Linked DNA regions of Drosophila melanogaster. The protein of the gene in region 1 interacts with the protein of each later gene in a pairwise test. Each region holds a gene or a part of one and is shown on either strand. Other genes may lie near its edges.

The links.
Region 2: the proteins of Dph1 (region 1) and CG16717 interact in a two-hybrid assay, tested with the Drosophila melanogaster proteins (one large-scale study listed by BioGRID).
Region 3: the proteins of Dph1 (region 1) and Cdk4 interact in a two-hybrid assay, tested with the Drosophila melanogaster proteins (one large-scale study listed by BioGRID).
Region 4: the proteins of Dph1 (region 1) and CG15308 interact in a two-hybrid assay, tested with the Drosophila melanogaster proteins (one large-scale study listed by BioGRID).

What each region holds. Positions count from the first base shown.
Region 1 is NT_037436.4:11,692,254-11,698,477, reverse strand, and holds Dph1 (diphthamide biosynthesis 1), read left to right. Parts: upstream 1-1,514; 5' UTR 1,515-1,603; intron 1,604-1,979; exon of another isoform or gene 1,980-2,127; intron 2,128-2,899; 5' UTR 2,900-2,903; coding exon 2,904-3,668; intron 3,669-3,732; coding exon 3,733-4,332; 3' UTR 4,333-4,599; downstream 4,600-6,224. Other genes in the region: Dnai2 (dynein, axonemal, intermediate chain 2), read left to right, coding at 1-322, 382-560, 616-853, 913-1,132, 1,217-1,266; CG14135 (uncharacterized protein), read right to left, coding at 5,882-6,056, 6,119-6,224.
Region 2 is NT_037436.4:9,677,215-9,682,351, forward strand, and holds CG16717 (uncharacterized protein), read left to right. Parts: upstream 1-1,986; 5' UTR 1,987-2,252; intron 2,253-2,685; 5' UTR 2,686-2,693; coding exon 2,694-3,596; 3' UTR 3,597-3,846; downstream 3,847-5,137. Other genes in the region: fry (furry), read right to left, coding at 1,558-1,612; alphaTub67C (alpha-Tubulin at 67C), read left to right, coding at 4,200-4,202, 4,689-5,137.
Region 3 is NT_033778.4:16,577,620-16,586,327, forward strand, and holds Cdk4 (Cyclin-dependent kinase 4), read left to right. Parts: upstream 1-1,850; 5' UTR 1,851-1,914; intron 1,915-1,944; exon of another isoform or gene 1,945-2,307; intron 2,308-2,486; exon of another isoform or gene 2,487-3,074; intron 3,075-3,213; exon of another isoform or gene 3,214-3,222; 5' UTR 3,223-3,293; coding exon 3,294-3,396; intron 3,397-4,376; exon of another isoform or gene 4,377-5,251; coding exon 5,252-5,417; exon of another isoform or gene 5,418-5,750; intron 5,751-6,532; coding exon 6,533-6,668; intron 6,669-6,730; coding exon 6,731-7,059; intron 7,060-7,124; coding exon 7,125-7,260; intron 7,261-7,332; coding exon 7,333-7,416; 3' UTR 7,417-7,829; downstream 7,830-8,708. Other genes in the region: RpLP2 (ribosomal protein LP2), read left to right, coding at 8,604-8,708.
Region 4 is NC_004354.4:10,217,022-10,221,859, forward strand, and holds CG15308 (uncharacterized protein), read right to left. Parts: upstream 2,119-4,838; 5' UTR 2,058-2,118; coding exon 2,052-2,057; exon of another isoform or gene 1,716-2,051; intron 1,383-1,715; exon of another isoform or gene 1,357-1,382; coding exon 1,075-1,356; 3' UTR 892-1,074; downstream 1-891. Other genes in the region: CG34408 (uncharacterized protein), read left to right, coding at 3,528-3,719, 4,342-4,561, 4,638-4,667.

The DNA.
Region 1 (6,224 bases):
GATCAGCGAACGGGAGGTGTGCCATCGGGATCCGGTTAACTCGGTGCTTTGGAACAATTCCAAGAGTGGCACAGAGTTCTTCTCCGGCGGTTCCGATGGTCAGGTGCTGTGGTGGGATACCAGGAAGCTTACCGAACCGCTGGACCGCCTGCTCATGGATCCGGTGAAGAGTGACGATCAGGATCTCTCCAGATCCTATGGAATATCAGTGCTAGAGTACGAGACCACCATACCTACAAGATTCATGGCGGGAACTGAGATGGGCATGCTCTTCTCCTGCAATCGAAAGGGCAAGACGCCCACGGAGAAGATTCAGATACGGGTATGCTCTTTGGCTTTAATCACAGGACATTTCCTATTGATTGTGTTGCAATCCCGCAGATGATGTGCCACCTCGGCCCGGTGTATGCCATTACCCGAAATCCGGCGTTTGTTAAGAATTTCCTAACTGTGGGCGACTGGTGTGCCCGAATCTGGTCGGAGGATTGCAGAGAGAGCTCCATCATCTGGACCAAGAGCAGCAGCTCGATGCTGACCGATGGCGCTTGGAGTTACACGAAGTGAGTATTCATTCAAGCTAAGGTTATTCAACGTAATCTACATAATCAATTCTAGAGTCTCCCAGTTCTTTATCACTCGCATGGATGGCGTCTTGGACACCTGGGATCTGCTGCAGCAGCAGAACGAGCCCGTTCTCACGGTCAAGGTGTGCGATGAACCTCTTTATTGTGTCCGGACCAACGAGAACGGGAAATTCGTGAGCTGTGGCAGCCAGCTGGGAGCCACTTTTCTCGTCGAAGTCTCCGACAACATGGTCATGTCAGCCAAGAACGACAAACCCCTACTAACAGCCGTAAGACTCCATTGGGAATCCAGCATTCTAGAATCTTGAGTCACATTTTCCATATGCAGATGTTCGAGCGCGAGAACCGTCGCGAGAAGATCCTGGAGGCCAAGTCCCGGGAAAGCAAGCTGAAAGTCAAGGCCAACCATGGCCAGGATCAGGGGGACACAATGATGGTCAACGGAAAGATCAACATGGCTCCGTTTGAAGCAGCTTGCGAGCAAGCTGCCTCGGAATACTTTGCGGCCGTGGAACAGGAACGCCAAAGGCGGCTGCCAGGCGGAAAGCGTAGGTGAACGAAGGCGGTTTAGAAATGTATACCCCTATTACGGGAGTATCCACTAATTTGTGTTCTTTAATCTTCCATTTCAGAGGATGCGGAGGAGGCTGATGTGTCCGAGGCGGAGAGTTCGAAGCTGTAAATCCCAAACGGAACTATGTCCTTTTTTTGTTAAATCTAAAGTACAAGTTAAAGGGAATTTGTATAGGAAATAAAAATATAGTAACCACTTTTTAAAAAACTAATTAATTCAGCATAAGAGGTAAAATTTAAAACGTCGTGTGCTTTTCAACACTTTTTAGTTTCAGTGTTGGATAAAACTGCTTCTAGTTCTTTGCTCATCTCGGAGTCAGTTCCAGCTGGGGCTCACAAGTTCACGAGCCAATTGGTTCAATCAGCTGTTGTCATTCGACATTCGCACGCGGGATTGGAAAGAAATAACTAAAACGTTTTTAAAGCACGCTTAAAGATCAAAAATTGTAAGTAACTTATAAGACACACAGAAGCATATTCAAACACAAATCAATAGACGGTGCTATTGAGAACGGCAACGGCGAAGCAACAATTTCGCATCAGCTGTGCGAGTAACGTGCCAGAAATACACTTGGCTACAAGTTCAAGGGCCGAAGACCAACCATAATCTGTGCCAAGTGATATAATAGTTGTTTCCGAGTGCGAATTAACAAATCCAGCGCTAGAGTTTATGTCAGCTACTTGCAAGCGAGGTACTTTCTAAAAATTCAAAGTTCTGCAATTGGCGGGGATCAGGTAGCCAAAGTAACCCGTTGCGTGTTGCATGGTGTGCGGCCTACGTGACTCAGAAACAGTTATCAATGGCGCAACACATACGGAAAGTTCAGTGACCAAAATTTGTGCAGCAGCCAAACGGCAAACGCAACCCCTGAAACTCAGACGGCGTCTAACGTCCAACTGATAAAGGTATCGAACGATCCGAGTTCTACTATTAAATATTAGTGTTTATTTAACTAAACAAATACAACGGGTAAGACAAAGGCCAACCAGTGAAGTTGCTATAGTTATGTTTAAACATAGTGGTAAACATTTGCTGTTTAAATAGTTTTCGTGCTAGTTTTAAATCAGTCTGTGCATTGTTCGAAATTAATTTCAATATTTTAAACAATATTACTTTCACCATTAACAACAACTAAATATGTTTACATACTACGCTATTTACTATAAAGTAGAACGCCAGTTTGTTTTGCCATTTTATTGCCAATTGTTAATTCAGACCTTGATGGCGCTCCGATTTGAAAGTGCCTGTTCCAAAGTGTTTCCCCAAGGTGGGGCTGCCCATTAAGTGATTCACCCACCTGACGTGGGCTAATTATAAGAATTCGGGTTTTGCTTTTCCGGTTTGCTGCAATCGAAGGGGGCCGGACCTCGTCCTCCCATTCCATGCTATTCAGCAGCAGTCACGTACGCCAGTCGCATCATCCAAATCCAGTTCAAGCAATGCGCTGTGGTGTCTTTGTTTATTGTTTATTTAGTGAGCCGTTCGCCGCACAAACAAATTTTAATACGATTCCATAATTTCTAATAATCAAAACAATCTTGACCTTAACGTGTCTAGTTCATATATGAATGGAATTATATAGTATTTAAAATATATTTTTTAACAAATACATTGAGGTGGTTTAAGGTGGATTAAGCAGGCGAATGGAACAACAAAATTAAATAAAAAACATATTGATTAAAACCAATTAGGTTTGAAAAAATACGATTACAAATATTCCCATTATTCTATGTTCTTGCAGCACCATGTTGGACGTGATCCAACCCAGCAGCAACCTCCCGACCAGCGAAAGCACCGATATTGTGGTGGTCCGAGCCAGACCAAAGAAGGTGTTCAAGCCAAAGGCGCGCATCAATCGGATTCCCCAGGAGCTGCTCGATGATCCACTGCTGCAGCAGGCCATCGACCGTCTGCCCTCGAACTACAACTTCGAGATGCACAAGACGATTTGGCGCATACGGGAGATGAAGGCCAAGCGTGTGGCCCTGCAACTGCCGGAGGGCCTGCTGATGTACGCCATGGTTATCAGCGACATTGTGGAGCGATTCACCAGCGCAGATACTGTGATAATGGGCGATGTGACTTACGGAGCTTGCTGCGTGGACGACTACACTGCCAAGGCGTTGGGAGCTGATCTGCTGGTCCACTACGGCCACAGCTGCCTCATTCCCGTAGATCAGACGTGTGGCATCAAGGTGCTGTACATTTTTGTAGACATCAAAATCGATCCGCTGCACTTCCTGGACTCTGTAAAGCTGAACTTCCGCCCGGAAGTGGGCCAAATAGCTTTAGTAAGCACAATACAGTTCGTGACAACGCTGCAAGCTGCATCTACTGAGCTAAAGGCAGCCGGCTATGATGTGATAGTACCACAGGCCAAGCCACTTAGTCCTGGAGAGATTCTTGGGTGCACTTCGCCTCAGCTGCCAGAGACAACGAAGATGATAATATATTTGGGTGACGGGCGTTTTCATCTAGAATCCGCAATGATAGCAAACCCGTTGCTAAAGGTATGCAGTGTGTTTTAAAACGAATTCTTCATTTACTTATATAATATATTTATGTTTATTTTAGGCTTACAAGTACGATCCCTATGAAAAGAAGTTCACCACAGAGCAGTACGATCACTCGGCGATGCAGAATCTGCGCCTGGACGCTGTTCAGCGGGCTAAGAAGGCGCGCCGCATTGGCATCATACTTGGAACACTCGGAAGACAAGGCAGTTCAAGAGTGCATCGGTTTTTGGAGAAGCGACTTCATGCCAAGGGTATTGAAACTACCACATTATTGCTGTCGGAGATCTTCCCACAGAAATTGGCTCTTTTCGCCGACATCGACGCCTTTGTGCAGATTGCTTGTCCGCGACTTTCAATCGACTGGGGATCCGCATTTAGCCAACCGTTGCTGAATCCTTACGAGCTGTCCGTGGTTTTGGGCGATGTCGAGTGGACGCCGCACAACTCGTCGCCGCGCAACAACGCCTATCCCATGGACTTCTACGCTAGCGGCAGCCTGGGACCCTGGACTCCCAACTTCAAGCCACCAGCGATAGGAGAGTGCGAGAACAAGCCCTCGGCTGACTGTTGTGGAAGATGCACGCGAGCGGAATTGGAGAAGGACGATTCCGGCAAGGCAGCGGCTCTGGACGATCTTCTCGACTTTAAGAAGGGATAAGCGATTTGACCGGCTCGCTTCCAACTGCCCACGGAGCCCTCCATCTCAATCGATCAGCCACGATCGCCTGCCCAAATATATTGATTACCTACTAATTTAGTTAGTACAAATTTGGTTTTTAAGTTCTTACTTTAAGGGCATCTTTTGTGTTCATCACAGATAGGTTCATAATTTTTATGTTCGCAAACACTTTTCTAACAGAGATGCAATTGTTAATTAGCAGCAACAATGTACAGAATTTTAAACATTAAAATAATGTTTAAAACGAAACCTGAATATTTCAATATTGAAAGGCTCTTTAGGAATATTTTATTAAAAACTAATAAATATAAAATCATTTTTCTAGAGACATATGTTCTCGAATACTTAAAATTATGTTTATCTGAATAATATTTTCGGCTTCTTTTTCAAATTTTTGTTACCTTTTATGAAAATAGTCCAGTGCAAAGAACCCCCCAATTTGTGCAAATTTCCTTTTTTGGTTCTTATAAATTTCATTCTCTATTGCAAAAAAATCAAAAATATTTAAAATATATACAATTTATTTTAAAAATTTACTAAATTATGTACACTTGAACTAAAAATTTTACTAAATTTGTTAAATTATCTATAGTTTGTTTGTATATACATTTGGTCTATTGAATTGACTAAAAATTGGCTAAGGTAAATATGTACAATTGCACTACTTAGACTAAATTGGCTAACTAACTAGGTATATACAATTGTGTTGATGATGTATATATACAATCGAAATGTGACATTAACTAAAATGTACAATTGATCTATACAATTAACTAGAATTTACAATTGTCTAAATTCGGCTAATATGCTGACACTGCATGGTCTTCAAGATTGGATCCTTATGGTTGCTCCCAGGATGTGTGGTGTTCCACGTCGCTCTCGTTCTTTGATTCTTCAGAGATCCAGCGCCGGATACGTGAAGCTCCGCCAGGAGCTGACGTCGGTCCGCGATGGATGTTGTCGGTCGGAGAACATCGCTTGCAGTGCAGGTCGATTTCAAAACGACCACTGGTTTATATACTCCTACAGGTAGACAAAGTGTGAATTCAACTGGATAAGAGTCCTTTGCCTGCTGTAATGACTTCGACCTTGGCAAAAAAACTACCACACCGCGATTACCCAAAAATTTCCAGGAAAGATAAGCGCGAACACCTTCAAAACATTTTTGAATACCCGCTGATTTTGTGGAAAGTGCTCAAGTCGATAGAGAGAAAGGAAAAAGGTGTGGGTAAGTAGGTAGACAAAAATGTTGAAGGATTTTGCCCAAGACTCGACGTCTGTATTCCATATGTTTAGTAAAAGGCTTTCCTAAGCTACCAGATTAAATACAAATTTTTAGCTTATATGAAAACACACACATTTTTTTTCATAATTCATAATTTTTAATTCTGTTGGATTCAGATACTGATTTGATAATATATTATTACGCTTGATGTCAGCTTTTAATAACTGGTCAGTCGTTTATGTTTACGTAGATATCTGGTCTTTTTCAAAACTGAGATTTCCTCTAAAACAATAAAAACGTTACTCAAGGAACAAACCAAAACCTCAAACCAACTTTTCTGCTTTTAACAACACCTTGGAGTTGTTTTTCTGCGAGTTCTTCCTCTGATCTTTTTATTGTGTCCTTGAGATTACGCATTTCAGCCTTTATCTTCTGGTATTCGTCTTTGAGGAAAAATACCTCACGCTTTAAGGAGCATCTAAGGACGAATAAGAAATTTATGACTTATCAAATGTCACATAACATGTATTAAAGTCTTACATTTCGAGCTCCAAGTGCTTCACATAACTGTCGCCTTCCGAATCGATTATCTCCACATGATCCTTGGCATTTGACTGCGGGTTAAGAGGATCCAATATTTCTACTT
Region 2 (5,137 bases), 2.0 Mb from region 1:
GACTCGACATTTGACTTTGGATGGCTGGCGGAATTTTCTAATTTTGCCACACTGCGCTACAAAATCCGTTGGATAACTGCCAGGTGGTGCTGATGGTGGTAGCGATGGTAGTGGTGGTGCTGCTGCTGAAAGAGCAGCAAAACCAAATGGAAATAAAATCCCAACACACCCATTGTGACGCCAGACGTTTGTTTTGCTTTTCTTCCTCTTTCGGCGCTGAATGTCATTATCAAGGTTTATTTGGCACTCTGTTTTTCCCGCCTTTTTTTTTTTTTTTTGGTTGCGATTGTGAATGAAAAGCGTAGAAGTGAGTGGGCGGGTTTGTTTTTGGGGGAAATATTGAGATAGGGCCAAATCGGATCGCGTACCGGCTTAAATCGGCGGTAAATCAATCTCGGAATTGCTGTGTGCCAAATAAAAAGTAGAAGGAAAAAGGGAAAACGTTGAGACCATAAATTAAAGAAGACAAAGGATGAGATGTAAACTGCATTATGTCAACGGTGGGCAAAGACTTATTTGTTTCAGACAAATACTAGATTATTTATTGCACAGCTTGTGTTCATTACCTTTGGCATGCAAAAAAGCATAAGATAGTCATGCAATCATTTTTGCATATATCTTTAGTCATTAAATTTTAAACTTAGTTTTGTCGCAACTCTTTATATATGTATGCTTATATGTGTTCTCAAGTGCTTCTAATAAAACTAATGGTTCCCTAGCGACAAAGCCGCAAAGCAAGCATTTAAGTTTTTCGATTGAAGCCAGAAGCAAACATATGTATGTATGTATGTACGTATATTTGTAGCTTTATATTCCTTTGTTGCAAAATTTGCGATACCCAAGTGTAAACAAAGAACCCAAAATTAGAATGAAAATCCCACTTTGATCTAAATCAAGAGCAGAGGTAAATATTTTCATAGACGCCCAAACTTACCGGCGACTCTCTGTGAAGATATTGTACATACATATAAGCACTTAGAAGCCCTTAAGATAGAAGTTTTTCAAAGTAAACAAACCGTTTCCTGTGCACTAAGAACTTGCACCACTGTGGTACAGTGAATCAAAACCATAAATTGTTCAATTTGATTAGGTGTGCAAGTGCGAGCAGGAGAAAGAGAGTAGGCGAGAGAGAGAGAGAGAGAGAGAGAGATGACGAGTGCGTGTGGATGGCCGGCAATCAAAGTGAATCATCACTTAACAAATGAGGAAGACAAAGCAAACAAACAAATGGATAACGGATAAACAGATGCAGAAGAGGTGAAGTGTGTGAAGGTCCAAGTGGGAGGGGCGGGAGAGAACAAAGGAGGCGAGGCAGTGAGTGAAATGCAGTGAGATAACACACACACACACACAACAGCGCACACAGTCAAACAATTAGTGGGCGTGTGCAATTAGCAACAAAAGCATAAAACTAAGAACAAGTGCAGTTAATCGCAAGAGTTGCGCGATGCAAAAGGGAAAATCGAGAAAATCACGCAGAAGGCTCTTTAAATCCCATAAATAGCCACTTATGCAGCTGAAAACTAAGAAGAGACGACAAATTGCGAAATAACTCACCTGCAACACCTGCTTCCAAACCAAACAAATCGTCCTGCAGCTCTAATTGATCCATTGCAATCGAATACAATCCGTAATTAAAAATTGATGGCTAAAAACAATACGCGTCTGCAAAAGTTGCAGCTGCGGCCATTTTTTGCTTGCCCAGCCTGGAATTCCAGCTTTTAATCACGTTTCACTTTTTAAACACTCAAAGAACACTTCTATCATTCTTTGACACAAATGCACACGAAAAAAACACTATTTCCAATTTGATTTAGCCAATTTTAGGAACGTTTTTTACTGCAAATGTTGGACGAAAATTTACGCGTAGCGAAGAAGCAGAAAATTATAAAGCAGCTGATTTTTGTTTTGACCAGGGCTACGTTAGAAACTTGCCAATCGATAGGCGATTGTACGTTACGTTTTTCATTACGTTGCACTATCGGCGCTCAGCTGTTTTGCCCCGGCAATGACGTCACGCGTGAACACTCAATTTCTTGTATTTTGATTGGTATTATCAAATTAGTATATCGCATTTATCTGCAAATACTTGACTAAACATAAATAAACGCGCACTAATCAGGGCGCGACCATGTCGCCGGCGATTGCAACGTGTGCTTAAAGGCCTAACACAATGGCCTAAAACAATCAGAAGTCGGCGAGGCGCAAAGAAGCAAAAAAGGAAGAATCGCTTGGAAAGTTTATAACTAAAAGTAAGTAAAAGGAATTAACAGTATTAATTTGACAAATGAAGCTGTTACCTGTATTAGTTGTGACTTTTAACTCTACTCTTTAGATATAGTTACAAATGCTTCCTAAATTGGAACGTACGCCAATTATATTGGCTTAACTACAACACTCATTAAATCTTTTTCAAGTGCCTGTCCTTTTAACACAAATGTAATTGCATTGAATATTTTAATATATGAAATTTACGAATCACACGAAAAACCCATAATTCCCAGTACTTTAAAATTAAAGAACTGTCTTAGTAAGATAACATTCATGGCCACGTCTTATGTATAGCTCTTACTATCTTAAACAAAAGATTTAGTATCTGTGTTTAAATACCTCGCTGAATTATACGTAAACAAACCAGTTCTCCATAAGAAAATTCATAGTAATCCTCACACGCCACCATTGCAGATATCAAAATGGAAGTGCCAGTACATCCACTTAGCCAGGATCCCACGGCCGCTTGGAGGGAGATTAGCAAAACGCAGCGCGTGATCAAGGTGACAATGAAGCCACCGACCACCACGGTGGCGCCCAACAAGGCACGAGTGGTTTGCATGTCCGACACGCACTCCCTGACGCCCTACATCAAGTTCGATATACCAGATGGCGATATATTCATACATGCCGGCGATTTTACCAAGTGCGGCCAACTGGAGGAGGTGGAGGAGTTTAACACCTGGATTGGAGCACTGCCCCATCGCCACAAGATCGTGATTGCTGGCAATCATGAGCTCAGCTTCGATAGAACCTTCACCCATCCTTTCCAGAAGAGCAAAAGTCATGCTTCGAGCAGCAAACACACCGGCATGTCCATCCTCGATGATCTGCCCACTTTGGGCAACGCCAAGGAGAACTTGGAGAGCGCTGTGCAAACGCAGAATGTCCGCGATGTTCTGACCAACTGTCGGTATTTGGAGGATGAACTACTTGAGATTTGGGGTATTCAAATATATGGCTCGCCATGGCAACCGGAATTCTGTCGCTGGGCCTTTAATGTTCCACGTGGAACTGCCTGTTTGGATAAGTGGAATCAAATCCCGGAAGGCATCGATATCCTGGTCACCCACACGCCGCCCGTGGGTCACGGCGATCTCTGCTGTTCCGGCGTACGAGCCGGTTGTGTGGAGCTACTCAGCACAGTGCAGCAACGAGTGCGCCCGAAATACCATGTCTTCGGACATGTACACGAAGGCTACGGCATCACCAGCGATGGCAGGATCATCTTTGTGAATGCCTCAACGTGTGACATCAACTACCTACCCAACAATGCCCCCATCGTTTTCGATGTGACGCTGCCCCCCGGATTTCGCAAGGATTAGCATGCCTAGATGATTATTTATTGTGTCACAGGTTCAATGAATTTATTTTCGTCCCACTTTATGTTTATGTTAAGGTATTTCGTCTGTAAAGATTTTGAAGCACAATTGTAGGTGTCTAGAGAGATAGAATTCAATTCGCACGAAATTAAAAAAAGAAATTCACACTTAAGATGCCATAAAATATTTATTCAAGTAGAGTGCATTTGTCAATATATGAATTTGTAAAAATAAACAAGTTTTGAAGACACCTAAACTTTTGAAGATTTTCAATATGATATTATATAGTTTTTAATAATAATTTAAGTAAAGGTAAAGCAAATCCTGAGATACATACATACTATTTCAAATTAGTATCGATAAGCCGCCAGAAATGGGTTGGAAAAACCTTGGAATGATTATTGGTTAGCAGCCCTGTCTCCCAATTTGACATTCCTCTTTGGCGCTCTGTAACGGCGCTTTTCCAGTGACTCCCCAATCAGCGAACCAACTAACCTGAGGCTGCACTTTTCGCGTGGCGACCAAAAAAATTATAAAAAAAAGGTCCCGCATTAGATTTTAATTTGTATACACCCAATTTTAGTCCAGCAAAAAAAAACTAATAAAATGGTGAGAAGAAGAAAAACTAATTAGTTTAAGAATTGCTGAAAGCGGGAAGTGAAATTTAAAATCAGAAAAGATGTGTAAGAAGATGTGAAATGAAAAGGTGTGGGAAGTGAACATGAATAAATGTTCATTGAAAATGAACAGCTAATTGCGAATTTTTTGAAACTTAACTGTTAACTGTTACTGCTCACAAATCCTTGAAAAATATTAAGATCTTAGAATTGTTTATTTAAAATGAATTCCTCGTATGTATTATAACAGACAATCAAGTTTATTAAAGAATATTTAAACTTGTATTTTTTTTTGAGTTTGATAAAATGTCCCAATTATAAAAGAGTATTACCTTTTCGTCATATAATACTGTTCTTAATATTAGTTTTAGTTAGTAATGTGTTTGTAAAGTAAATTACAAAGGGAGGACCTAACCTAACCTTAAACAATGGCGCCTTCTCTTGCCCAGCTCACCACTTTTATTGTTTCACCCGCCAGCGCGAAGTAGTCTCCATCCAGATTGGCCAGTGCGGCATCCAGATCGGCAATGCCTGCTGGGAGCTGTACCTGCTGGAGCACGGCATCAACCTGGACGGCAGCCTGAAGACCAAGGAGGAGCTGACGGCCAGCGGGAGCAGTGCCAGTGTGGGTCACGACACCTCGGCCAACGATGCTAGGACCTTCTTCACGGAGACCGGCAATGGAAAACAAGTGCCACGCTCGATTTTCGTCGATCTGGAACCGACGGTCATCGATGATGTTCGGAATGGCTGCATGAGGGAGCTCTATCATCCGGAGCAACTGATTTCTGGAAAGGAAGATGCGGCCAATAACTATGCCCGAGGTCGTTACTCCATTGGCAAGGAGGTGATCGATAGGGTGACCTCACGGCTGCAGAAGATCGCAGAGCAGTGTGACAGCTTGCAGGGATTCCTCATCTTCCACTC
Region 3 (8,708 bases), on another chromosome or scaffold:
AGACTGCCGTGCTGCTGCTGCTGGCTGATTTATTCAATTGGCTAACATTTAGCCAAATTGCCCGTCAACACCCCCGAATTAAAAAAAGAATAAAAATAGAGAAGAAAAAACGGGCTCAGAACGCGCGATTCATTTGGACTCTTTGTTTGGCTTGGCATTTTCTTGCGTATTTTTAGCCAGAACCAAGCCATTTTGACCATAATATTTGTACAATAAATTTCATTTAATTAGTTTTTTGGCTCGCAGCCGGTTTGAAACGCAATAAGATTAATCGCCAGCGCCGATAAGCGCCTTCGTCACAGGCCGACAAAATGTCAGAGAGTGAAAAACAAAATATAAATGCTTATCAGCGACTTGCGTCTATTTGCCGATCGGTGAATTTCAGATTCGACCGGATCCTAACGGTATACCATATAATACCATTATTCCGGCAACGTTCCAGACACACAAACTAATGCAAATTAAATGGCTAATCCGTTGGCAGCTTCCTCGGAAATTATTAGTTGTCAGGCGGTTGAAAGACAAAGCCGATTATGATACCCAGAAATCCTGATAGCACACTCATTCATTATTCATTCATGAAAAGTTTTTTCTGTGAAATCAGTTTGGCTTGGAATCGGAAATGCATATGTTCTAATTGGGTGAGGTATGCTACACGGCTGGGCGTTGACTTCCGCGAAGGAATACGACTCATCCAGGTGCTAAGTGGGCCAAGATGGGCTGCAGCAATTGAATCACAAATGCCAATCGCCGACTGGCGCCCACCAAAGGTGAGAAAGGTGGGCACGTTCCGGCTGTCTGGGAAAGTGATATTTTCATTTCCCAACAAAACACATCCATCCTGACCAATCGCATTCGCATTCGCATTCGCTGTTTGCCCTTTCACTTTGAGCCGGAAAGGCGTACGTCATGCATAATTTAGGTGCCTGATACCCGCTGGTGGTAATTAGCACTCGGCTGACTTCGTCACTGTGCTCTAATTTGATTTCGTTACTAATTAATCGCGCTTTTTCCCCAAAAAAAAACATGGAAATTTTCGCCAATCCAATGGGTAACATTTGTGATAGGCGGTTTGTTAAATGCGTTTATTGGTTTCACAATGTATTTGCAACATTGTTTTTAAATTTACGCGCCCCACTGCGAATGCCTTGATTCGATTTCGAAATTGGCAGTGCGGCCAGATCGTTGGAAATCGGTAAGCAAGCTTTCACTCAAAAAAATGTTGAGCGACTTTTGGCATTCAACTCATGTCAATAAATTATACATTCAACGAGTGACTTTATCGCCGGATTGAGTTACAAATTGAATTATGCCGCCAATCTAGATCATTAAGACATTTTATTCCAGAATTTTGTATTATTTTGCAGGGTTATAAAAATTTAAGTTTACCAAATCCTAAAAATGCTAAAAGTCAATGACACACATGTTTGGAGTTAACTAATTATGGCCGACCAATTGTAGTTGACCACGACAGTTTTAAAATTTTCACATTTTATCGTATGTAATAAAAATTTTTTTCAAATATTATTTTCATTATGTTTATTATTATTTATTTATTTGTAATTTATATATGTTACATATATAAATGCCTGAAATTCACATTGCAAAAAAAATAAATTTGGGCATTATTACAAGTTGAAAATATCAAATTCCCAGAAATCAATAACATTAGTATAACACAATAACACTTACGTTATCGAATTGGAATAACATTCAATAACGATCGCTGGCAGCAATTTCGAAATTAACCGTTTAACCGATTGGACGTATACAGCACAATGTTAGCGGCCGTCTGTTTGCTAACAGCGGGCGATAACAGGCGAAGAGAAGCCACTGTTAAGTAGACCATCTAAAACAGTTTCCAGAGCTGTGCCAACAACAAAACACAAAATCACTCAACTCTTACGAATATTGGTAAAAATTTATAAGACGTTTTAAAAACTTAATTAAAGTGCGACTGCCGGCAACTGAACCGTGTTCGCACCGAAAATTCGCGTCGCGTTGCTCCTATCGTGCGGTTCTAGCTGGATTATCAACAAATGCCAAAATTTCGTCAAAGCGAATAAAAATCATATATGTATACATAATACCTGCGCCTGTGTGTGTGTACCACTCGGTGTGTGCGTTTGTGTTTGTGTATGTGTGTGTGTGTAAGACCGATCTCTCAAGCGAAATCACTTAGCGGCGTTGTGTGTGTGTTCGAGTCTTCGCAAATAAAAACCACATTTTCTTAATATTTAACTAATATTTCGCACAACGGTTGAAAGAAAAACGACAACATTGGCATTGAAGTTCACCGAAAAAAAAGTAAAGTGAAGCCGAAATTTCCTTATCAGTAGAGCGCAAATGGTGAGCGAGAGAGGGATGACGAGGGAGAGAGAGGGGGCGAAAACTGGTGCAACAATAACTATGTATTTTAGACCCAAATATACAGCTCGTAATACCTCGTAATACCTTTCACAATTCTGGACACTCTCTTTCTACCCAGTTTTGTGACTGTGTCGCTTATTATTGTTGTTTCGCTTGTCTCGCGATTAGAATTAATTGACAAATGCCAGCAACAAAATACATTGTATTCGGGTTCTTTTTTGCGGTATATGTATATTTTTCGGGCAAAAAAAATGCACTGACAGAAAAGTGGTAGCACTTTAGATAGGAGAGAATAGTGGACACACGCCAACTAACGCGACAGTAGATAACCAGTACAGCGTTCACAGTCAAGCTCGAATAAGAGCAACAGGATGCACGAACGAAGCCGCAAAACGGAGACGGCGAGCAGCGTCACTGAATAACATGAATAAGTCATAACTAGTGTTGGCCTTTGCCGTTCTGCGATTGGTTAGACATAAAAACGGAGTATGTACGAAAACATTAAACGCGGTTCAACGACCGCCGCCATCTACATACATACATACATATGTAGTTGTCCATGTATATGTTTCGGTTTTCGGTTCTCGGAGATAGAAAAGCATAGCGGAGCATATAGCCAGACTTCTTCCATTAGCGCACCTGTCACACCAGTCTTTATCGCCAGTTTTGGGGTTATCTAGAAAAGGCAACAGGTATGAAATCAGGTAAGGCCCTCCCTCTCTCTCTCACGCACTCGCACTCTCCCTCTCACGCTACGATCTGTGTGAACTATCGCGTGGGGACACAAGGACATATCGATACGTGACATGCAGACGATCGATAACCAAAAAAAAAACACCCCTTCACTTCCAGCTGGTGCAACTAACGGTTTCGATTACCCGGAATATTAGAGGAATACGCAAATAACCGTAAAATCCAGCTAAATGTCATATGTACGCCAGCTGAAGCGGCAGAAAATGTCCCAGGCGAAGAAGTTCGGCGATGGCGATCCGTTCAACTACCAGGAGCTCAACATCATCGGCGAAGGTGAGCGACTTGGGTGGGATTTAATAATGGGACGCGGTTGCTTTGTTGTTGGGATAGGTCCGGCTCTCTTCGCACGAGAGGCTTTCGTTTGCTGGTCGCTTGTTGTTAACGTTTGATTACTTTAATTTGCTTACAAAGTCTGGGCTATTTGGTTTCACTACTGTTTACGATCAATCGGGAGCTCCGACATTGTTATGAAGCTGAAATGACAAGTGCACTTGGAGGAATGTTGTTGTTTTTTTACCCCTTTACTAATTAAGCGTGGAAATTCCGCGAAAAGGGGAAATATTGGATGGAAAACTCCCCTGTATTGGATCCTACACCTTCTACCTGCATACTTTTAGGTCCACTCTCGGCGGACTACGTGTTTCTGCCGATCTCACATCCATGATGATCTGACAAGTGGCTCATGGTCTTTTTTTTTTGTGGTCAGTAATTACGATCGCTTGTTTGCTGTAAATAAAGCCCAAATCAATTACGTCACCGATCATGCCGATCATCATGGGCAGGCGAATGCTAATGATGGATATTGTTACTGGGTGTTGTGCGAGTCATGGGTCCGCACAATTTCATCTGTTATACAACGCACACACACACACATACACTCAAACTTTCGGCTGTCTGCCTTTCTGTGCACATTCATTCAATTATTATTCGCTTTCGCTCAGTCTCATTTTTGCTACTTTGTACTATGGAAAATTTGACCACTTTTTGTGGCCAAACTAACTCCAAACTTTTTTTGCATTGCCTTACACTAGCCCATATTTTTAATGATATATAATATATATTTTTTAGTTTGCAGATAGTCATTCAATTAACTTTTTTGCATTGCCTAACAGTAGTCACCGTTGTAACTAAATGCATGCATTTAATATTACATATATTAATCGGTTTTCGGCCAGATAAAGTGCGTAAATTTCCCATAGTGCTTTGCTTTGTTGTTTTCTTTGCGCAATTTTTCGAGTTTATTTTGCTTGTATATTTGTATATTTTTTTGACAATTCCAATTGGACAGACCAGTTGCCGACGTTCAAAAACGAGTCGAGCTCACGGCCTTGTACTTGAATGTAGCAACAGCGGCACAGTTCATAAGCCAGGTGGTCTAGAGACGGTGACAAAGGGACGGAAAACCAAATTCACCCCCCCCCCCCCTCAAGTTGCGTTTATTTCGGGTGTATCAGTACATATCTGCTGTTTCTGTATGTCAGTGTCAACCGAAATAGCCGGTGCCTTCTAGCTTTTCTACCCCCCACGCATGTCCGTCCGTCCGTCCGTTTGTCCATTTGTCCATTTGTCCGTACGGGTGATAAATTTTCGGTGACATTTCTCTGGCATGCCAGAATTTGATTCTGATTGGGAATTTTGCTCGTCTCTTGTCGTTTTTCTTTGCCCGTGAACATGTAGAAATTAAGATCACGTTGTACCTGAGACAGCAACAGTTTCATGAGGAAATTAGTCTGAATTTCGTGCAATATTTTGACTAATTTTGAGTGCATATAATATAGTCTCTAATATATGCAATTATTGCATGCATTGCAATACGATTCTTTTGGGCTAAATGCATTCATTGTCTATTCATTCAATCATTATAAACAGTTAGTTCATCGAACAAGGCAAATAAATCAAGTCACTTCAATCGTAAGGGCTATAAATACGATGTTGAATATGAAAAGTATAAATACACCATAATGATATGAAGAAGCTAAGTGGCACCTTCTCTCTTTCTCTCGCCTCTCTGATTTCTGCCATTTATCTTATCGGCACAGCTGACTTTATTTTATTCTATTTTCGGCTGTCTTTCGCATTTATTTCCCGTTGTAAGCATTTTGATGTACAATTTCGATCCACTTTTCAGGTGCCTATGGAACGGTTTACAGAGCCCGCGATGTGATCACCGGCAACATAGTGGCGCTGAAGAAGGTTAGGATATCGCTGAACGAGAACGGTGTGCCAATGTCCACGCTGCGGGAGATTTCGCTGCTGAAGCAGCTGAATGCCAGCAATCATGCGAATATTGTCAAGTGAGTATGGGTGATTTACACGCTGCCACAAGGGCAGTGGGCTTCTAAATGGCCTTGGAGTTGAGTACTTTATGTAGAACTATAGCTAGCTAGCTGTATATGAGGGGTGTTATCACCCGCCATTGGGGCCAAGTGGCGGCGCCAAAGCTATTTGCCAAACTCATTTGTAAAGAGCCGCATCGCAATGTCAGCGCGCTTGTGTTTATCTGTGCATGCTATAGCCGTAATATTCCGACGATTTGCCCCCGGCGAACGCCCTCGCTTCTGACATATGCCAGTCAAGTCAAGTAAGTCTGAAGCAAGTCGATCCGCTCCCGCTGATAACTGATCACTGCAGTTCGCAAATGTGGGCGATTTTGTATTGGCATTATGTTTGTTTGCGGCGGCCGTTAGGAATTTGAATTAACAGAGCAGCTCGATAACCACATGTTGCTGTCGCGCGTTATCGATGTGCGCACTCGCTTGCACTTTAGCAGCGTGAGAGCGCGACGCGAATACAGTACAAAGAGATCGACAGAGAGAGAGAGAGAGAGAGAGATCTCGCACAACAGAATGTTAAGTTAAGTTGCAAATGGCTACAAAGTGCAGCTGTTATTTTGTTTGAAGCCAAAAGTGTTGGAGGGGTACAAGAAATAAATCAATGGCAAATTAAGTTTCTTGTATTTATCTGTATTTTTAAAAACCCAATGTGCCAGTTGCTAAAGCAAGTGTAACAGTAGAAGGTTTCAATAAAACTGTGCCTTTTAAGTAATTCAAAGGCAATGTTAAAATAACTGCCCGAACTGATTCTAACATAATGCTAACATAACATAATGCTAATCTGCTCTGCTAACGTTTACGTTTTGCCTCTGTCCGAAAACGATCTGTAGCCTCTCTTACTGGACGCTCTCTTTGGCTCTTTGATCGCCATGTGCGCATGTGTTTGTCTCGAGTGCTTCGCGTAGTTCCCGAAACGAACAAAGTATGGCCAATGGCGTATTGGCGCACCACAACCAGCAGCATTTTATGACACATTTTTTTTATATCTCTCAACATTTCCCCCATACATCGCTCTCTGTCGCACACAAAATCAAACAATTTGTACATACAAAGATTGCACTTCCCCTCTCTTTCAGACTGTACGAAGTATGCCAGTTTCTGGAGCGCGACGGCCAATTGCTGATTCTGTTGGTTTTCGAACATGTGGAGCAGGATCTTTCGGATCTTATAGACAGACTTCCCAAATCGGGCATGTCGCCGCCCACAATTCAGGTGGGTCTCAAAATGATATCAAAATTTCAGAAAATGGTATATGAAATTATTTCCTATTGCAGCGCTTGTCAAGGGAACTACTGACCGGTGTGGACTTCTTACACTCACACCGTATCATCCATCGGGATCTTAAGCCGCAAAACCTGCTGGTCTCCTCGCAGGGCCACCTCAAGATCGCCGACTTTGGCTTGGCCAAGACCTACGGTTCGGAGATGAAGCTCACCTCCGTGGTGGTCACCTTGTGGTACCGCGCACCCGAGGTTCTGCTCGCCCAGCCCTACAACAGCACCGTGGACATCTGGAGTGCCGCCTGCATCATCTTCGAGATGTTCAATCGGCGCGCCCTATTCCCGGGCACCTCCGAAAAGAATCAGCTGGACCGCATCTTCGAGTGAGTGCACAAATACTGCCATTGAAATCGGTGATTTTTAATTACATTTATGCGATTTCACGCAGACTGACCGGTAGACCCACCGAGCAACAGTGGCCACAGACCATTTCCGTGGCCCTGGAACACTTTCCCCAGCGGCATCCAAAGAGACCAAAAGACTTTTGCCCACACCTGTGCAAGTACGCCGATGATCTGTTGAATGTGAGTATGAAAATGAAGATACATATCTTGTTGCATGGTCTAGACTAACGCATACCCTATGTTTGCCCGCAGAAAATGCTTTCCTACGACCTCCACCTGCGACCATCCGCCTTGGCCTGTTTGGAGCACGATTACTTTCAGCAGGAACCCCTATAGTCTCGATGCCCAGAAGGATAATGGATAATGGATTATGGATTATGGATTATGGATTATGGATGTGGAAGTGAAAGTGGCAGTGGACTGATCATTGCGGCCGCGCTTCGTTCTTGTTACCAATGTTCCTTTAAGTGTAGTGAAGCATTTTGTTTATTTTTTCGCGACAGTCCAGTTATTGTGTCCGGGGATACGGATCCGGAATAAAGAATACCTTAATTTGTTTGTAGTCGTAAGTTAAGTGTGAATACTACTGCCGATCAACTATCTGATGACCATTACATGTGAAACGATTCTCGAGGGCGTTTGAAGGCCCTCCAAATCGAAATGTGATACACAAAGTTCAGGAATGCATTATACAATTTCAAAATTTTGTACAACAATCATTTATATATGCAATTATATATACAGCATACAATAAGATGGGTCTCATGTCTTTTCTGCAATTTATTTCAAGTGGGGGTGCAACTTAAATTTAAAGTGTTTTTGAAGAATAATAAATATCTCATATTAAACATATTTTCGAAAAAAATTTATTTTTTATACAGCTTTTTCGAGTTTTATTACAGTTTTATATTTATGTGTACAAATAACAGTTAAGTTCTGCTGTTAAAACGATGGTCATGTTAATCATCGATAGCCAGCTGTTAACTTTTACGCATCCCTAGTTCCTTCTCTTAGCTTACGATCACTCTCATTTTGCTCTCTTTCCAGCACTTAACAGTATGTTAGACCTCGCCTAACAGAACCGTTTCAAATGGTGTGACCGCCTACTGCAAGAGCAAAGTGCTTCCCACTATTACGATAGCCAAGTTTGAAACCCAGTGTTGCAACTGATAACATTTCCATGCTGTAAGAAAGGTCATATTATTAAGCTAATATAAATACTTTTTGATGTTGTAAATATAAAAAAAACACACCAAATTGTTCAAAAATCAATAATATTGCTCTAATTTTTATTTAAAAGCAAAATTGAAAATAATATTTGAATTTATCGTTTCATTAGGGGTATTGCTAGATAAGGATGTGGTATACTTTGGTATATATAAGTATGAGCTGGTATTTTCGAGCCTCGACCGCGCGGCCACACTGACTTCCGCCTCTTTTTCGACGACAACTTGCAAAGGAAAGTTGTGTTTTTCGTACATTTTGCCAATTCACGTTTCGTGTCAAGAACCCAAGACTTAAACATGCGTTACGTGGCTGCTTACCTTCTGGCCGTCCTCGGTGGCAAGGACTCGCCCGCCAACAGCGATCTGGAGAAGATCCTCAGCTCTGTGGGCGTTGAGGTCGAC
Region 4 (4,838 bases), on another chromosome or scaffold:
GAATGGGGCTTTCATATTTCGTATTTTTTTTTTTATTCGGCATCTTATGTTTTATGGTTTAGGTTTTCGTTTTCATTTTGATTTTGATTTCGATTTGGATTTTGGATTTTGGTCAATTCAATTTGCATACACGGGCGTGCTGCAAAGCGGTTGCCTCACAAGGCGGCCGGCAGTCTGTCATAAACCAAAGCGAAAACCTAACCCAACCCAACCCAATCCAATCCAATCGAAACCAAACCAACCCATTCCATTTCACCTCATCCGGCAATTTCAAGGTGAATCTGAATCGGAATCTGTTGTCAAGCCGAACCATCTCATTGATGGTGGCTATATTCCATCTATATGCAGGTATTTATAAAACGAGCCGATTATTATGCAAGCCACCAGTCGCATCTTCGAGCCATGTAAAACGCATTATGTTGGCCCAATAGGCCAAAGATGTTGTAAAATTGGCCAACGGTTCGGATCAGTGATATCTGTTGGCGCATTTTAAATAGCCACTAAGTATTACATACTTACAACAATAAACATATGTTTATTTACACAAATATTCAACATAATCAACTGATGTGCATATATATATATATCCATTTAGAATCATATTTCTACTCAGTTTATAACAATTTTATAAAATACTATCAAATTGTTCAAATTGGTTATGCTTTTCGGTTAAGAAACGTATTAATTTATACCAAAAAAAAAAGAGATTTTCAGTGGGCAGATCAGATTGGTGGGAAATCAAGTAATATCCAAGAAATGGTTGGCTAACCTGCACTCTGCCACTAATCGTGATTATGATCTTGTCGCGGTCTATTATGGTTTGTTAATTGATCCATGCATGGAATGCATCTGTTGAGAAACTACATACATACATACATAAATATCTATATTAGTGCATCTGCAATCTCGAAACAAGTTTGGCTCAAATCTTCAGTTCAATATAACTTTTAACTTATATACATAAATATTTAAAACGATATATTTGAGTTTTGCTAGTATATATTTGTTCGTTCTATTCAAAGTTTATTTCACATCAAAAGTACATGTAGTGGTATCCTTTCTCGTGGCATCCATCTACTTCTGCTTCAACCATCCACCATAGGACTGCACCAGTGGAGCATCGTAGATGGGGGCCTGTCCAACGCGCACCACCGAGGGCACCACTGGAACGGACTCGACCACATTGACACGGCGAACCACCGGCACACGGCGGACCACAGGCACACTGCGCACCACCGGAACGGAGCGAATAACGGGCACGGAACGGACCACCGGAACGGAGGACACCGGCGAGTAGATGACACTGCACTGGGCGAGGGCCATGCAGGCGGCGATCAGGAAGGCGGCGATGAAGAACTGCAGGGATGTTAAGAATCGGAAATGGTCAGTTAAAAGCAAACACAAAATTGAGGATAGTTTAGATTAGAGGATCTAGCAAAAAGGAACTAAAAATGTCCACATATTTTATTGATATTATCTAACTATCTAAGTATCTAACTATGTAACTTTCTATGTATCTAACTATCTAAGTATCTTACTATCTTGCTATCTTGCTATCAAACGATTTAAGAATCTAACTATGTAACTACCTAACCTTCTAAGTATCTTGCAATCTAACAATCTATAAGATTTTTATATACATCTATAATATATTTATACTAAATTAACATTTGTTATACATTTTAAATGCACCTTTTGTGCACGTTCATAAAAAGTGTATAATTTATTTATTGCAACATTAAAATGTAAACAATTTAGGTGATTTTCAAATTAAAAGCCATTTTTATGGGCAACACATTAAAAAAATTTCAGACTGCAGACGATAAAAAAAACCAGAACACAATTAAGATCACTTTTTCTTCACAAATTTTGCTGATGCACACTGTTTTTTTTTTTTATTATTACTGTTTTTATAATTCAACATTCTACTTATTTTCACATAAAAAAAAAAACTTGAAACCTTGAACTTGTATTTGTATTTGTTTCGTTATCGTACATTCACAATTTGGTCAGCTATCCTTTGTTTCGTATCCTTGCGACCTTCAACTCACCTTCATGTTTCCAAACTTTGTTCTTTTTGAGTAAGTTGTGCTTGGAGGACTGGACAATTTGTGCTGATCTGTCGCCGGTTACGATGATCTTATATACCCGTAGTGTCAAGAATCTGAAAAGTGGAGCAATAAAACTGGCCAAAAAGAACGTATACGGATGCAAATTTTGTGCGGGGTTCGTTTAATTGTTTAGATATTGATTTTGGGATGCCATTATCATTGATATTTGCCAGATTTACCAGAGACGATCGAACAATGCGTGCCGAAGTCATAACTTATTTGAGACGCCTTTCAAATCGCCAAAACAATGAGGACGTTGTTCCTTTTGCGACAGGTGATCATCTCACCTGGCGAATTTCCGCACCTTTGATGAATTCTTGTGCAAATTGCTTCATTGCTTCATAAACTTTGTGCTGGGTTTACTGTCTTCGTTTTTTTTTTGGCTTTTTCTATTTTTGGCTAAACTCAATTTATGAGCCCATTGTCCACGCCCATTATGATTTTCGGTTCACCGAAAATAATGCAAATTTATGCAAATTTCAGTGAAGCTTCCTCAACACAAATAGCGCAAAAACACAAAAATTGTTTGCTTTTGGTTTTCTCATACAAAATATTTTGGCAATGTGAAAAGTAACATTATTAGTTTTTAATTATGCTATAATCTTTTACACAACTAATCTCTCTTTAATTTCGCTGTTTAATTGCCCTAATGCTTTTGAGCGAATTTCTTTTGATGTTCGAGAGTCTTTTGGTAGTTTACCTTTTTTGTTTAATAAACATTTATGTAAATCTATTGTTTAAGGCCACTTTCTCCCAGAAAAATAAATATCATACGAAAAATGGAAAACAATGAAGGGCTTTTGTTTAAGTTTCATTCATAGATAATTAGATGCAAAGCATATTATTAATATATTTAAATGTGTTTAAATTTTATAACTGTTATAAATTTGCTTAGCATTAATCAACACTTGCAATATCGATTGTCGATAGGCGCCGATAGTCCCGCCCAAGTACTAAAAAACACAGCTGTTTACATCGCTCCATCTCGCTCGCTCGCTTTTCGCTGTGGATTTCTATTTTTTTTTTTTATTGTATTAAACAAATCGCAAAAATAGGTCTTTAATGGCGGTGTAATCGAATCGTAGTTGTAAACAAAAACAAATAAAAGGGGCGGGAAGTGCGAGACAACATAAACATTTGGGGAACTTCGCATTTTGCAACATGAGAGCGGTCAATTAGCAAGTCAACAACAACAACAACAACATGGCGCACCTGCACCTAAATTCTTCATGTTGACGTCAACAAAGTGAAATCCGATCAAGAAATCGTAGCGATCGCAGAGAAGGGACCGCCATACGGATTATCGGGTGAATAGGAAGCATCGAGGAGGAGGAGGATTACCACGATCCCCAGGATCATCAGGAGCAGCAGAGTCCCCAGGATCCCTAGAGTCCTTGGACTCCTCACCACACCAGGATGTACTCCGAGTGGGCCTCGCTGTCTGCCCAAATCACAGCCAACAGCTGCGGCGCCCAGTGCTTCAGTGTGCTCAACAAATTCCCCGCCTCCGCCGGACGCGAAGTGGTCGTCTCCGTGGTCAAGCAGCTGGGCACCAATCTGGGCATCACGCAGAATGCAGAGCCCAGTCACCTGGTCAAAGACGAAGAGGTGGGTCATCGTAGCTGTCCCACACGGGATGGTTTACTATAAAGCAGGCTACTCGTGTAGAAAGCTGTAAAGATAATTGTTAGATAAATGTTTTATTACAATTACTTCTATATTATATACTATAGTCAATACTATATATTATATGGTCAGGAAGGGATTTTAGATTTCAGGAAATCTGCTTATTTTTTATGAGAAGCAAAGTAGTATCCTTAAAATGCCTAAAACGAAATAGTATATCTTATATCAAATTGAATCTTAAACCGGAAGTTAAACTTTCTTCATACAATTTTCTTAACTTTAAGACTTGCAAAAACATTGCTTACACACATGTCCAACAAAGCATTAGTTTAATGAGTGAAATAATGTATTAGTAATGTTCTGGAAAAGCTTCCATTAAATCCATAAAATTGTGCATGTAATTGCCAAATGAATGAATGCAAACTCAATTTATATTACCTCAATCTGGAAACGAAATATAATTGTTGTTTGTTGGTTTAATGTAGAATTGCTATTTATAGAATGCTTGGAATGTTCTCATAGAAAAATACGAGTTTTCCTTGGAATGGAAAATGTTGAAACTTAGATAACTCAGATTACTTACAATAACTCGATTCGATTCTAGGTAAAATGGTGCATGGACGTGATCTGCTTCGGACTTTCGCTTCCTCTGCAGGAACACGAGACGATCAAGGATTGCGTGAATGTGTACTGCGAGTGGCTGACGGCGCTGCATCCGCAGCCCAGGATCAGTGTACCGAAGCCGATATGCGAGGATGCCAATCTCTATGCTCGCCAGATCATCAATCACTTTCACAATCTGTTTGTGCCGCGCCAGGGCGAAAGTAAGTAGATGACCACCAGGCCCATGGATTTTATGATTTATATATGCTGTCCCTTAACCCCGCTCTAAATTTCAAGTCTTGCCATTTCTATACCAAACCACGCTTGGTAGGTTGCTCATGCTCTTTACATATACACACGTACATAGGTTGCTCTTGGGAAAAATAATGTCTAAGCTGTGAAAATGCTATTAATTCTTTGACAATATTTGTCCTACGAGTAGAGGACTAGAATCCATTCGAATATTAAAGGCCACAACTAATACTTACACTTAATGGC